Linked DNA regions of Ovis aries. The protein of the gene in region 1 interacts with the protein of each later gene in a pairwise test. Links are inferred from orthologs where the notes say so. Each region holds a gene or a part of one and is shown in the gene's direction. Other genes may lie near its edges.

Region 1 (8,187 bases):
TATGGATATATTTTTACTTGAAAAAGTAAGTTTTTGTTCTGAATTTTAAGAGAGTTAGTGCAAATTAGATACCATTTTTAAATGCTTTGTCTCCATCTACATACAGAAACAGAATCTACTAAATTAGGTGCTAGATATAGAGCAAAAAGAGAAAAGGCTTCCCTGGTGGCTCAGGGGTAAAGAATCCGCCTGCCAATGCAGGAGACTCAGGTTCAGCAGTTCCTGGTCCGGGAAGATCCCACATCCAGAGGAACAGCTAAGCCTCTGTGCCACAACTACTGAGCCTGTGTTCTAAAACCCTGGAGCCACAACTACTGAAGCCTACATGCCTGAGAGCCTGTGCTCTGCACCAAGAGAAGTCTGAGCACCTCATCTGGAGGAGTAGCCCCCCCTCACTGAAACTAAAGAGAAGCCCACAGAGCACAGAAAAAAATAAATAAATAAAGCTTTTTTTTTTTTTTAAAGAAAGAGGAAGAACTTTTCCCCATATTTGTTAAAAATACATTTAAAAAATACCTCTGTGTGTATGTTTGTGTGTGTGTGTGTGTTGAGTTGCTCACTTGCGTCTAACTCTTTCCAATGCTCTTGGACTGTAGCCTGCCAGGCTCCTCTGTCCATGGAATTTTTCAGGCAAGAATATTGGAGTGGGTTGCTGTTTCCTCCTCCAGGGGGATAAAGACCTATCATATTCTAAATAAATATCCACATTTTAATTTCCCTCCTTGTTCATTCAATCCTAGTAATTCTTATTCTGCTTGATCCTAGGCAAAGCATTCTTTTTCATGAAGTATATTTGCTTTTAAAGTTAAAAATGTCATAGAAAACCTGTCTTGAGCCACTAGTACAAATAAGCCGCAGTTAACCACTATCTTTACTATTTACTTGGCTTTACCAGTTAGATTTTTACTTACATACGTTTTCAAGTTATTAGTATGTTTTCAGCTTAAAGAAGTCCCTTTAACATTTCCTGTAAAGCAGGTTTTGTGGTGATAAACTCCTTTAGCTTTTGCTTCTATGGAAAACTTTTTCTCTTTCCTTCAGTTCTAAATGGTGGCCTTGCTGGGTAGAGATTCTTAGTGAGAAGTTTTTTCCTTCACAACTTTAAATATATCTTGCTACTCCCTTCTGACCTGCAGAGTTTCTGCTGAAAACTCAGCTGATAATCCAATGGAAGTTCCCTTGTACGTAACAAGGTCTTTTTGTTTTTTTCTCTCTTGCTGTTTTTAAGATTCTCTCTTGAACTTTTAATTTTAATTATAACATGCCTTGGTAGAGATCGCTTTGGTTCTTCTCATAAGGAACTCTTTGTGCTTCCTGTACCTGAGTATCTGTTTCTTCCCCTTTCTTAGGGACGTTTTCAGCCATTATTTCTCAAATTTTCAGGCTCTTTCTCTCTGTCTTCTCCTTTTGGGACTCCTTTAATGTGAATGTTATTCTGCTTGATGTTGTCCCATAGGAACTCTTTACCTGCCTCCACTCTTTCAACATTCTTTTTTCTCTTTGCTGCTCTATTTGGATGCGTTCCACTGCTCTTTCAGGTCACTAATCCTGTCTTCTGCTCCACTTCATCTTCCGTTGAACCCCTCGAGCCTATTTTCAGTTCAGTTATTATATTCTTCAGCTCTATGACTTCTGTTCAGCACTTTCTTATTTATCTTTGCTCAAGCTCTCACTGTGTTCATCCATTCTTCCTCAAGTTCAGTGAGCATTTTTCAACTATTCTTTTGAACTTTTTTTCAGATAATTTATGTATCTCCATTTTTTCAATTTATTTATTTTAATCAGAAGATAATTACTTTACAATATTGTGGTGATTTTTGTCATACATCAACATGAATCAGCCATAAGTATCCCCATTTTGCTAAGATTTTTTTTCTGAAGTTTCGTTTTGTTCATTCGAAGCATCTTCCCCCATTCTCCTCATTTTGCTTGACTCTCTCTGTTTGAGTCTGCATGCTAAATAAAACAGCCCACTTTCCCATTGAAAGAGTGTCCTGTGTATGAGATGAAGCTTATCATTTATCCTCACCCTAGCTCTTGGTTGTTTCAAATCAGTGTGTTAAGCAGCCTGATTTATTCTTGATGGATCCCAGTTGTTGAGGGTGTTTTAAGACCTGTCAGTGTTCCAGAAAGCTTGCTCCCAGAGTTAGTGCCTAGTTTCAGACAGATTGAAAGCCAGATCCTCCAGCAACAGCTGTTAAAGTACATAAATAGTCCTGTGGGTCTGCAATCCCTGCTGACCTCCAGACCAGGAGATCCGGGAGTGTTTCTGGGCAACAGTTGCCAGAACTAAGCTTTCCTCTGAGTGTATAAGCTCATTGCTGGAAGATCCCAGAAAGCCATGGCAAGGTCAGGGGACGATGCAACAACGGGAGGGTGCAAAGACTGCATCTTCCTCCCTATATTCCCTACAAGTGTGTCTGCAGCATCTAGAAGAGCAGCAGTGCTGAAGCCTATCCCTAAGGCTGAAGTTCCAGGATAAGTAAATGTCTTTTTCACAGGCAGACTATGGGTAATTTTTTTCTGCTGCCTGTGTAATGTCCTGGGTGTGACAGCCTGCCCAGAACTATCTTTCCAATCATTACAGACCTGTGGGGCCCAGGGAGGTTAGTCCCTGTGGCCACCAGCACCAGGTGATCAAGAGGTGTCCTGTGTGAACTGTGTCTACTGCCCAGCCTTAGCAAGTCTGTAGGAGAATGTTGAGTGTGGGGTGGATCCACAGTGTTAGTGATACAGGGGAAGTATGTTGGGAGCAGGGCTTGGCTGCAGCTTGAGGAAGGCTAGGAGAGAGTGCTAGATGGGTGGGTCATGATGAAGTGAGGGGGATAGCGAAGACAGGGAGAACACCTGCAATTTTAGTCAAGCACGGGCATTTCTTTTGAATTACTTTCTCCAGAGCTGCTTATTCAATCCTCTGTCAAGAAGTCCCCCTAAAGTCATTGAATGAGTTACTGGCATAATGACACATCCCTTGACCCTCAGAGGTAGCTCTTTTTGACAGCTACTTGCAAGAATTTTGAAGGAGTTGAAGAAGGATGGGTTGAAAGTTCCTCCTCAGGAGCTTTGCTGTCAAAGTTAGAGAAGGTTAATTCTTACTGGAACATAAATTTTTATTGTCTGGAAATGACTCAGAGCCTGTCAGACAGAGTTTAGCCTTGAGACTAATGAAGCAATCGCTGAGAGCATCAACCCTTTCAGGGAATCTGTGTCCAACCATGAACTCCATTTGGAGGCACTAGGTGGAGCTTGTTTGCAAATAGCATATAAAGTCTGCTAAATTTGAAAGGTCTCAAGGACCAGGCTGAGGGCAGGAGCTGGGCGCGATACAGTGCCTGCGGTTTGCCCCTCACGATGGGGGAAGGCAGACTTCTTCACTCTTGTCTCCTGCTACTTCTCCTCACTCAGTTTTCTACCAGCACCTCAGATTCTGTGGAACCGTAAGTCTCACCCAACATCTCTTGCTCAATAGTCTGTTTTTTATTTCAGTCTCTCCCTTATATCTCTGCTTTGCCTTTCCTAGTAATTGCTACCCTTTCATTCCTTAAGATACCTAAAAGTTACAAGAAAGTAGTAAGACTATAACAAGGCTTTGCCGTTCCTAGTAATTGCTACCCTTCCATTCCTTAAGATACCTTAAAATTATAAGAAAGTAATATATTTTTTATTTCACTTATTCTACATTCTTGAAGTCATGTTTTTCATGGAGTCAATAATAGTCATAAACACAATAAGCAGTCATTAGGAAGCATGACAAACCTCAGGCCTTACCCTCACAGAATCATTCTTTCAGGTGAAAGGTATGGACTATAAAAATATTTAAAATGTACAGTTGGGAGTAATTAAACTCATATTGCAGATTATATGTACACAGAAGGTAAGGAACGTATTAAATTATATCACAAGCATATAATTTGCAAAATTCATACTGTGGAAAACTGACAATTTGATTTCTCCAACAAATAAATTGTCTCAGAATGAGAAGCAGAGACCACCTATAAAATTAGAAAGATTTAAAAGGTATATCAATCAATTAATCAATCACAATGTATAGGCCTAATTTTGATAATGATTTCAAAGACACCTTTTAAAACATCATGACATCTGTGATGACCTGGACGGGTGGGATGGGGGCGTGGGAGGGAGGCTCAAGAAGGAGGGATTATATGTATACATTTGGCTGATTCACGTTGTTGTACAATAAAAACTAATGCAACACTGTACAGCCATTTACTCCAATTAAAAAACATGACATTTTAACAAGGAATTATAAATTTGTACTGGCTGAATATTTAAATATAGATGATATTAAAAAATTTTGTTAAATGTTTATGTATGATAATGTAGCTTGTTTTTGTTTAAAAATAATCCTTTCCTTCTGGAAATATATGCTGAAATATTTTAGCGTTTTGCTTCAAAATGATAATGGGAAGGGTGAGGTGGTTAGAAGGTGAATGTAGATGGAATGTGGATATGGTATAGCTAAGGCAAGAGTGCACATAGATGTTCTTGGATGTTAGAACTGGGTATTAAGAGTCTAGTAGTTCACTACATTAATACAGTATTGTGGATGTAGACTTTTAGTAGATTTAGAACAGTTAGATGAACAAATAAATAATATGTGTACATATATACATGGAAAGTTTTATATATTTACAAAAAATATTCCAGATTAAAATTTACACAGGATTGGTGATTTCTCACTTTACATATAAAAGATGCTTTGCAGATAAATTACAAACCAGAAAGATTTTCAGTGTGGTCGTGGGTGACTGGTAACCAAGCATTAGGGTTATTTTTGAGGTTAACTTTAGCATTTCTGTTCAAATGATGCTTTTTTTAAGACTATAACTACTACCACTACTTTTAAAGACTACTATTTTTCTAAGTGGAACATATGTCAGGAGAGCAGGATAAAAACATATTATGAAAATAATAATAATATTGTGGATATATTGGATTCATTTATTATTTTGTCTAATTTTATGCATGTTTGAAATGCTCCATCATAAAAACTTTAAAATTAAAAGGAAGTAACAATGAAAGTTACAAAACATTTAGAACTGAACAAGAATTAAACCATTTTATGTCAAAATACCTGATTTATTTGTTTAAATATCTAGTACATGTGGAAGTACATTTTATAACACCTAAACATTCTATGAATTAAAAAATCAAGAAAGATTGTTATATGAATGAAATGAGCTAGAAAAATGGGGAAAAAAGCAATATATAAACAGTGTTGACAGCGAATTGTGAAGAACAGAAGTTAATAAAATGAAAGTCTACAAAATGATAGAATCAAGAAAACAAAAGTCTGTATTCTAAAGATTAATAAAACATACAACTGGTAAATTTTGAAAGCCTCGATGAAAAATATAATGTTCTAGAAGAATAAAAATTATACAAATTATCAAAACAGAGGATAGAATATTTTTAAAAATTGAATAAACCAGAAATGAAAGTGAATTAGGAGTAAAAAATAATCCTTCACTTACAAAAGATAGCATAACAATATTTTATAGAAAAATTTCATCACACTTTCAAGGAAATGATAATCTCAATCCTAAAAACAATATTTAGAGAGCAGAAAAAGAATACCTATATAAATTATTTTAAGTTTAATATCATAAGAATCACACAAAAAAGAAAATTAAATGTCAATCTCATGTATGGACATAGAAGCAAAATGCAAAATAAAATACTGCCAGTTTGTTACAGCTGTGTATTTAGTTAATTTTACATTAACTGCTAAAACAGCAAACCCAAAAACTCAGTGACAAAGCACAATAACCTAACTTTGTCATTTTTGTGTATGTCACTTCCAAATACTTATCCGTCAAACAGTGATATAAAGGTGCCCACAGGAAGTTTTAATACAGCAGACCTGGATATGACATACATCACATTTACTTATGCTCCATTAGCCAGAACTCAGTGGCATGATGAGACAGTCTTTCTGTGTATTCAGGAGGAAAAGGAAAGAAACTCAGTGCAGAACTAGCCAGTCTCTGCTACAAATGGTGTGTGTGTGCGTGTGTGTGTGTGTGTGTGTGTGTGTGTGTGTGTCTATGTGGCTATGTGTTCCAGTTATCTACCTAGAGTGTAATGAATTAAAACAATACTTTATCATTTTTCTCTCATGGTTTTATGGTTTGACCAGGTTCACCCAACAAGGCATTATTTGCTTTGGTTCTCTCTTGCAGTTGAAGTCAGATGTTGGCTAGGGTTTTGGTCCTCTGAAGATTCAACTGGACTGGGTATCCAAGATGGCTCCTCAGATGGCATGCAGTTCATGCTGGCCATCACCTGGTGGCTCATCTAGAAATGCTGCCCACAGTGTTGACACATGTCCTCTCCAAATGGCTCAGGATTTGGAGCAAGATTCCAAGAGACTGTGTCCCAAGTATTAACATAAGCATTCTAGGGAGTGGGACAGAACCTGAAGAGCCTCTTAGTGTCTAGCTTTGGAAGTCACATAGTACCACTTCCATCACTACCCTTTTTCAAAAGCAAGGCATAGGGCAAGGAGAGGGAACCACATAAGCCTTAGAATACTGAAAGGCATGGTTTATTAATAAACAATCTCTAACCACTAAGCTTTCATAATCTTCCATAAGCCCCTCACTGATTTGCATCTCACTTCCATGTTAAAAAAAAAAAAAATAACACTCATCCATGTTCCCCTCCAACACTTGATGTCTTGTCATATGAAGACATCAGCCTCAGGCTTGAAATCCAGCATCTAAATTAGGTCCAAGTATAGATGAGACTCCTTGGGGTCACCTGCTCAATTTCAGTTCCTTTAGTGTAGTTCGCATTCTGAATATCTGTGAACTAAACAGAAAAGTTATCTACCACCACTCTGCTGGGGGCAATCCCAGGACAACTGTGACAGATACTTCTATTCAAAAAGGTGGAGCACAGGAGGCCACTCCAGCTCATGGTCCATAGCCACTCTGAAATCTGACCAGGCAGTTGTCACCAGTTCTCTGATTAGGGTTCAGTCTTGCTTCCTCAGAGTGGTTCTCTGTGGCTCTGGAATCCACTCTACACTCTAATTCATCCTTTATCTCCCATGAGAAAAGGCATATGTTTTCAGCTGAGATATGCTCTCAATCTTCTTCCAGTCTGTAGATATTTGAGGGCTCTGAAATCTTTTCCCTTTGAACCATTTCTGTCCTTTGAAGTCCCATCTGGAAATGCTTCTGTTAGTACAGTTCTCCTTTTAAATGTCATGGTTTCATATCAGTTTTAATGAGATTTATTCCACGAGACAAAACCAATACCCAAAAACCTCTCCAAAAGGCTCATCTCTACCTTAGGTCACCTACAGGGCTCCTGTAAACTAGATTATTAGAATTCTTATTGTCTAGCAAATACAGAGGAATACCCTTAAATTTGTCAGAATTTTTTTTTTCTATTCAAAAGTAACTGCTAGGCATAACTTTATTTAGTTCTGAACCTTAATGTCAGATGCTACAGTCAAAACTTTGACTTTATTTTTATCCCAAAGTACATTGATTCTGTACTTTGATTTTTATTTTGGCTTTGATTTTTCTCATGATACCCAGGAATAAATGTGAAAGAAATGGGTAAAATATATATAAGAAAAAATTTTAAATAGTAATGAAGAACACAAAAAAAGGACTTGAACAAATGTTAATAAAGCATCCTATGTTTTTGGATAGGTTAAAAGTCAGCATCATGAAAATGTCAAATGTCAATACTCCCTAAATTTATTTACATTTTATGTAATCTTAGCTCAAAGACCATTAGGATCAGAGATGCTGATTCTAAAATTCAGATTTTAAAAACTCCATTAAAATAGATGACATTTTATATATGTGTTTCTGTCTGCCTATGTGTCTATCTGTCTGCCCCTGGTTCCTGGCATAGCACTCCTAAAAATCCCCTTGGAATTTCCTAAGTGATAAGAGTACTTAGAGCATCTTTTATTTGAAGTTTTGCTCTTTGACCCAAGTTGCTGACTCAGAGCTCCTAAATCCATTGGGATTTTTTAGATAAGAGATCTTTTCTTCTAATGAAGCAACTGTTGGTGGGCTCCTGGATAGCTTCAAAATGGGATCTGGGCACCAGAAAGAGAAAACCATGATTAGAATCTATTTCCCTCCAAAATAATGGCTTCAATGTCTACATCTCAGTGTTCTGGGCTGCCACGCCCCCTGC
Region 2 (8,218 bases), on another chromosome or scaffold:
TGTAAATTCAGCATCAGGCACATAGGCAATAATTAGGTTAAATCTGTGGTTTCAAATTCTAATACATTTCCTTCTTACAGAAAGAACATACTGGTCGTCTTGTTATAGGAGATCACAAATCCACATCTCACTTCCGCACAGGTAAGAAGGTAAAATATAATTAAAGTGGAGGTGCTAAATTTGGAATGTGAAATACTTGCATATATTTTGGGATATTCTAACTTCTGTGTATAATTGTTGATTAGTTCTGATGATTAACATGTTGGAAATAGATGTTGTGTATGTAAACATGTTCCATACATCATGTAACAGTATATACTCTGATGAAGGATTTGAAAGAGTTTACATTAATACGAATATTCTAACCAAGAAACTGACTTGCTTCTGTTTCCATTTCTACTAATTTACAACATGTAGTATTTTAATTGTAGTGAAGTTTTATGCCTCATCTTGCCAACTCTAGTTTCTAGAGTTTACATATATTTTGTATACTATTTACTATACAGTGTTAATAGTTGGCATATTATACTGGTTTTTAGTTTATTCACTAAGTTTATGCTCTTCAAAGATCTCAGAGCAAAACTCATTGGAAAACCTGAAGAAATGAATTCTTTTAATTTGGGGGGGGGGATTTAAAAACTGAAAATGAATTAGAATTTGGATTCAGTCTGCTGAAAATTTTTCATTTAATATTAACCCTGATCTTGGACATTATTAATAACAGGGCACAATACCCCATATACATTTAAGAAAACCTTTACTTACATCATTTAAATTAACTTTATACTGACCTAGATTATGTAGCATATTTTAGAAATTAATAGGCATTTTATTTTTCTGGTGTTGAACAATTACTTCAAATTAATCTGCATTGCTACAGAAGGCTAAAGAGTCTGAACTTTGGCAGAATGGAAATGTATTTAACTGTTGCACTTATTCTTTTAAAATATGAAGTTATTTTCTTGTATTTACAAATTAAAATGCCACGTACAGAAAGCTCCAATGGTATTGGTAATATTTTAGTCCTTGGGTGGTAAGTTTATAGATGGTTGTTTAGTATTCCACTTCATAACTTACATGCAACAGAGTATATGTTAAAAGTATATGTCAAATGTCACCTGCTATATCGGTTCAGTAAAGTGATATGCAAAGAAAGGCATACAGAGAGCCAATTCCAAGGTCATTTTATTTAGCCATTTTCTGAACAGAATTATGTGCCTTTTCATTATTTGTGTTCAAAGACAGAAGCTGTTGTTTGTTGGAGGTGTTTTTCTATGACTAGGAGGAAACTTTCACTTTCGGGAGAACCATTATGAGACTATATTAACTAAAACATGATACCCAAAGTTCTTAGCAATTAATATTTACAGTATCTAAACTTCAGGCAATTCTGAGAATTCCTTATCTGCTTTAAATTATTACATGGAAAAATTTTTCATTTTTAATAAAACAGCTTCTAGTTCGAGTAGCTACTAAAGAAGTAAGTTATTTTGTCTGTTAGGTAATTACATATGGTATATAAACCCATTCACAAAATTCACTGTAAAATTACTCAGAGAAATCAGCCCTAAATATAATAGCATCTGTATTATGGGTTTTTTGTGTAATCAAATATTTTTATTAATTTGACTGAAACATAATCAAAGTACACTGGACATACAGGGGAAGAAGACAAGAAAATTAATGAAGAACTGGAGTCTCAATATCAACAAAGTATGGACAGTAAATTATCAGGAAGATATCGACGACATTGTGGACTTGGCTTCAGTGAGGTAGTAATTAACATATTTTCATTAAGTGGAAAGATACTGCTAATTTGATATCACTTATTTCTGTTAAATTACTCTAGCAACCAAGAATCCTAAGTAGAAACCTCTCTTTATATAGTTACTTAAAATATTTTTATATGCCAAACTAAGTCTTTGTAGTTAATGAGAAGAGAGATTGAGAGTTTTTGAAATACTAGAGTTTTTTGATACTAGCTTAATGTACATTCTGCTTGGAGAATCATTAGGGCACATTTTAAGTAGGCATGAACAACGTACTCACAAGTTAGATGAAGTATTTCATGTAAATACTCATTAGTTATCTCAGTTGTTTCCTATGTCACCTCGTTCCATATAACTACTGGTTCATTACTCCAAAATAATGTAATATGCAAAACATTGGTAACTGTTTTCAGCATTCCCGTGAATCAGTGGTTAACTTGCCTTATTCTTAAAAAAAGTATTGTTTCCATCAGGAAGACAATGTTAATTTCAAACTAGGGAGGGAAGGAAAGGTGGTGGTTTCAGAGCCCTTTCTTAAGCAAAAATCCTCCTCAAGTACCAGTTTACGAAACAGCTGGAGACGCCTGAGCCCTCAGCTCTTCCCTAGGCAGCCTCTGTTCTTAAACTGCTGCTTTAATGGCTAGAGAGTGAGACAAAAATGAGGGTCTTTTCCAGTTTTTGTACTGGATAATTTTAATAGGCTGTTGGTTGATATTTGTAGGTAGATGATCATGATGGAGAAGGTGATGTGGCTGGAGATGACGATGATGATGATTCACCTGATCCTGAAAGTCCAGATGACTCTGAAAGTGATTCAGAGTCAGAGAAGGAAGAATCTACTGAAGAGCTCCAAGCTGCTGAGCACCCTGATGAAGTGGAGGAGTCCAAAAACAAAAAAGATGCAAAAAGCAACTATAAGATGATGTTTGTTAAATCTAGTGGCTCATAACTCCCAAACACTTAGTCTTTGTATTAAAAGTAAGCCTTATTGTTATAATGCACAGTGGAGGACTGCTTATAGAGCACAGACCTTTGTATTATAATTTTTAAAAAGGCCCTTTTAAATAATTACAAAGAGTGTTTGCTTTCAGATGCCATGGGTTACACTTTTATGGGCATGATTATAACCATTTTTGTAAAGAGTAAGAGTTGTATAAAATAAGAAATAAATACAATACTCAACTTCTTTTCATGTTAGCATCATCAACAATCTCTAATATCACCTTTTTACCCCTTCAGATACAGTTATGGGGGAAACAGTATTTTTTGTGTGGTAGCTGTTTATCTTTTTTTGTTTCTTCATGTTTTTCTTTTATAAATTTTTATCTGGTACTGTGATGTGTTCATGGGAAATATTCTTTTATTATACTTTCTCATAGTAGAACTATTCATCATGGATATTTCTGCTGCCAATAACAATCTAAATTAATGCTGGCAAAATATTTGGAACTTAGTTTACTCTTACTGATTCAGCTCTACTCTTTTGGACCAAAGCAACATGAGAGCAAATACTTTTCACACCTGTTAGGCTGGGGTTGCAGTTGTCATGTATTTGGAATGTTATGATCCCAAGTAGTCTTTATATAATTTGAATGATATTGTATGTTAGATTTTTCTTTTAATATAAAATTGGCCAATTTTTACAGAAGAAAATTTTTCTCTGATCATTTGGTCCTATCTATTTAGGAATATGTAAAATGGAACTTTTTTTTTTAAAGGTAATATGTGACCAAAGTTAATTTCCTTCCTAATGCTTAAATAAAGAGAAAGCAGCTTCCCATATTTGGTTGTAATACCTTTATCCTCATTATCTAAAAATGAGGAACAGGCTTATTGAACAAGAATCTGAAACCAAATTCTCTTCATTTTATCCCAGTGCTGTTATCCTGATTATCTTACAAAAAGGAGTATTGCTTTGATTTTATCACTACTTCTGTTGGAGTAAGATTAGTATCTGACTACTATTATGTGGTTAATTTGTACAGCAGGTTAACACAAACTGCATTATGGGCTAGTCAATGATGTTTGAGTAATTGGGTTCAAAATCTTAATGTTTCTAAGTGATGTGTTCAAAGGCTTGAGTTAAAACTATTTGTTTGCTGAACTGTTATACATCTAGAAGCTTAAGTATGTTAATGTGTTGGATTATTTTTTTTTTTTAGTCCCTGTGTCATTTTGAAGTGTAGAATGTGTTCGAGGAATGTAGCAACTAGAACAGGTGATTTTTGGATTATGCAGTCCATCCTGAAATTTTTTTTAGATTTCACACCCCCAACATTTTTTTTTCTTATTTCTCACATTGTTTTATAATAGGTGTTACCCTATATAGTAAAATACTGAGTCAGTGGGTAGTAAACAGAATGTACGTTTAACAAATAGCATTTGGTTTAAACAAGTTTGGCTTTGTTCAGATTTCAGTTTGACCATTGATTTTCAGATAACTAGCCTGTAGGGTTGCTTATTACAACTAATTTAAGAAGTGAAAACTGATTTATGTTTAACAGTGTTATATTTTAAAAAGTATTTTTCATCAATTTATTTAAATATGCTGGGTTATTAATAAGCCTTGATTCTTATATAAATAGAAGAGCCTTGTTCTAAAATAACTATACTGGAGGACCTTTTTTCTTCATCTTCAAGAAATTCTTACTCCAGTTCATTTATTATTGGACATTTAACAAAATTCAGGGTCGGAATAAATTTAGGTCTGTTGGACCATGTGGCCCAGTGGCCCAGCACCACATTAAATATCATGGCTGTCTTTTAAGCATGAACATTGGGTTTTTTTTTTCTTTATTAAATTGCGGGGGAGGGGGATTAAAGGAAGACAGATACAATGCCATTTTGATACCCTACTAAAGTACCAGGAGGGAAAACAATTTGCTTTTGCGCAATGAAATATGCTAGTGAGGTGAAAGTTGAGTGGCAACTTTTTCCTACTATTGTACTTTCTTACCTGAAATATACTTCTCCCAGGTGTTGATTATACTGATGTTCCAGTGATCTTTCTATTGTAAAGGTTTCCAGGAACACAGATTCCTGTGTGTATTAATAGGTAAAAGTCTTCTCATATCTGTAATTTTTTAAACCTGGAAGAATTCAAGGTATAGAAAAAAGTCTGATGTGATTGTTGTTCTGATTAAACAATGGTTTGAGAGCAGAAAGGTGGGTCATATTTTTTGAGTAAATTTTGAGGTAGTAAATTTCAGCTGCCCGGTTGGCATCAGTGAACACTGCAGGGCTGTGGTTCCATTGCTTTGTCTCCACAATAACCACATCTTGGATACTTTCAGTATCCAAAAACAACTTTATCTCCAAAATGACAAATGTAGAAATCTTATCTCTGACCGTAACTGCTCTGTTCCTTTATGTATATTCAAATCAGATCATTTCACTGTTGTCACCTGTTTCATCAGCCCTGTCTAGATTTTTTTATGTGATCACTTCAGTGTCCCTGTTGTCAGTAACCCAAATAACCTTCCCTAAATGTCATAACATTCCTAGAAATACAGCCCTGGATTATCCAGTTTCCTATTATTTCTGGAGAAAGCCCACCAACTGAACAAACCAGTATTTCTAAATGTTGATTAACAACACCGCATATTATCCTTACTGTTTTCTCTTATCAACCCTTCTCCCATTCTTAACTGTTGAAAACCCGTATTTTCAAACTTGTGACCCTCTCTTTCCTCCTTCACTCTTATAATATGTCCTTACATACTAGCTTACGTTAAATAATAGGTTTTATCAGGCAGAAATTCCCTGAACTTCAGCCTAATTTGACAACCATGGCGAAGTGCTCCACTCTTCTAGGTCATCCCAGCTCTACCAACTTAGTGTTGAACTCAGTGACCTTGGGCATAACTAGATCTGAGTCTCCTTCCACCCTTTCATCAGTAAAATGAGATTATCAATAGCAACCACCTTGCATGGTTATTATGAGAATTAGTTAAAACAGGTAAAATGCATTGTTGTTCAGCTGCCAAGTTGAGTGTGACTCTTGCAGCCCCATGAACTGTAGCCAGCCAGGCTCCTCTGGTCCATGGGATTTCCTAAGCAAGGATACTGTAGTGGGTTGCCATTTCCTTCTCTGGGGGACCTTCCCAACCCAGAGATCAAACCCATTTCTCTTGCATTGGTAGGCAGATTCTTGACCACTGAGCCACCAGGGAAGCCACATTTTCAATAGTTTTAATAACTTACTGCTGTTACGGTTTGCTTCACTGCTATTCCCTTCCCCCCAATCCACTCCAACTTTCTACCCAACTTTATTTAACACCGCAACTGCACTGAAAACTGCTTTGATCAATGAAATCAATGATTCTTTCCTAAACAACATTTTTTGGCCACTTGATGCAAAGAACTGACCCATTGGAAAAGATCCTGATGCTGGGAAAGATTGAAGGCAAAAGGAGAAGGGGGTAGCAGAGGATGAGATGGTTAGATAACATTGACTCTGGACATGAATTTGAGCAAATCCCGGAAGATAGTGGAGGACAGGGGAGCCTGGTGTACTGCAGTCGAGTTGCAAAGAGTCAGACATTTAGTGACTGAATAACATCAGAATGATGTTTCTGAAATCTATTAAGTGACTCCATGTGAGCAAGGTTTCTCAATGCTTTCATCTATAAAAATAGAAGTTTTCTCCTTTAGAAACTCCAATTACATGTGCATATTTCATTTCCTGTCCCCATGTCATTTTTATTTTTATCCCTCTTTTCTCCTTATTGTGATTTGAGCACTGTGTACTCATCATTCCAATTTTATATTCATTTTATGATTGTGTACTTTTTTCCTTGAATTCTGCCAGTTCATGTTTCTTCTGTTTCCTCATATCCTCTTGTATTTCTGATGTATCAGTTTATAGAGATCATAAGATATTAAGGTTGTCATGAAATCTTTGATCATAGCTTTCAACTGTTTCTTGAGGAAATGTTTTTCTGGTCAGTGTTCTTCACATGTCATTTATTTCTCTTGACCCTTTTTCCTCTATTTTAATATCCTCATGCAAAGCCTGTGCCAGTTCTTTTTCATTGTTTAGTTACCTGCAGATATTTACTCAGCACCTACTCTGTGCCAGGCACTATTCTAGCTCCTGAGAGGACAGCAGTGATATATATGTACTGTCTCCCCTTCACCAGAATGTACGCTTCATTAGAGCAGGGACTGATTCATTTACTGCTGTCCTTCCAGAAGCTAGAATAGTGCCTCGCACAGAGTAGGTGCTGAGTAAATATTTGCAGGTAACTAAACAATGAGAAAGAACTGGCACGGGCTTTGCCTACCTTTAGGCCCAGGTAAGATAGGCTCCTGCCTTGGGGGCTACATGTTAGAAGGCCCTGCATATCAGCATGTGGGTGCCTAAGTCACTCAGAATTTGCCATTGAGGACTAGCGCAATGCAGTCTATAACCTTAAATATTTAACCTTGTGACCAGGAAAATCCTCCATGTCTTTTGCCCTATGTCCTTGAAACAAAAGGTGACTTATGTCAAATTCCATGAAGGTTTTTGAGTTTCATCACTGCTAATGTCAGAGACAGACACTGCTTCTTAGCATAGAAAAATTCTAGTGGCATCAGTATTTCAGTAAGAGAAATAACTAATTTGTCAAATCCTTTTCACATGGATTTAATGGATTCTTGCACAATAAGATACTGTTTTCCAGGAGTGGAAAATACAGTAAAAAGGGTGTATAAAAATATGTATATTACACATACATTCATATATAATTGGAGTCACCGAAAGAGAGTATGGGGGAAATTAATTTTCAAAGAGAGAAAGGTTAAGAATCTTCCAAAACTGACCAAAGATACCCATCCATAGATTTGAGATCTACAATTCCCAAGCTGGATAAAGACAAAATCACATCTAGGCATATTACAGTAAAAGTGCTGTGACCCAAAGACAAGAAAAAAACTAAATGCAGATAGAGGTGGGGGAAAAAGACATATTAAGGGTGCAAGCCAGTCAGTTCATTTGCTCAGTCGTGTCCGATTCTTTGCCACCCCATGAATCACAGCACGCCAGGCCTCCCTGTCCATCACCAACTCCCAGAGTTCACCCAAACTCCTGCCCCCAATCCCTCCCAGCATCAGAATCTTTTCCAATGAGTCAACTCTTCGCATGAGGTGGCCAAAGTATTGGAGTTTCAGCTTCAGCATCAGTCCTTCCAATGAACACCCAGGACCGGTCTCCTTTAGGATGGACTGGTTAGATCTCCTTGCAGTCCAAGGGACTCTCAAGAGTCTTCTCCAACAACACAGTTCAAAAGCATCAGTTCGGTGCTTAGCTTTCTTCACAGTCCAACTCACATCCATACATGACTACTGGAAAACCATAGCCTTGACTAGATGGACCTTTGTTGAAAGGGTGCAAGAGTAAGACATAACTTCTCGATATAACTTCCCAGATGGCGCAGTGGTAAAGAATCTGCCTGCAATGCAGGAGA

What was found.
Region 2: the proteins of A2M (region 1) and C15H11orf58 interact in a two-hybrid assay, tested with the Homo sapiens proteins (2 studies listed by BioGRID and IntAct). The link is inferred for Ovis aries from reciprocal best matches to the Homo sapiens genes A2M and C11orf58.

The regions. Positions count from the first base shown.
Region 1 is NC_056056.1:206,398,140-206,406,326, forward strand, and holds the start of A2M (alpha-2-macroglobulin), read left to right. Parts: upstream 1-3,291; 5' UTR 3,292-3,351; coding exon 3,352-3,437; intron 3,438-8,187. UniProt on the Homo sapiens protein: Is able to inhibit all four classes of proteinases by a unique 'trapping' mechanism. This protein has a peptide stretch, called the 'bait region' which contains specific cleavage sites for different proteinases.
Region 2 is NC_056068.1:35,435,735-35,443,952, reverse strand, and holds the end of C15H11orf58 (small acidic protein), read left to right. Parts: intron 1-80; coding exon 81-141; intron 142-1,662; coding exon 1,663-1,772; intron 1,773-2,490; coding exon 2,491-2,718; 3' UTR 2,719-4,933; downstream 4,934-8,218.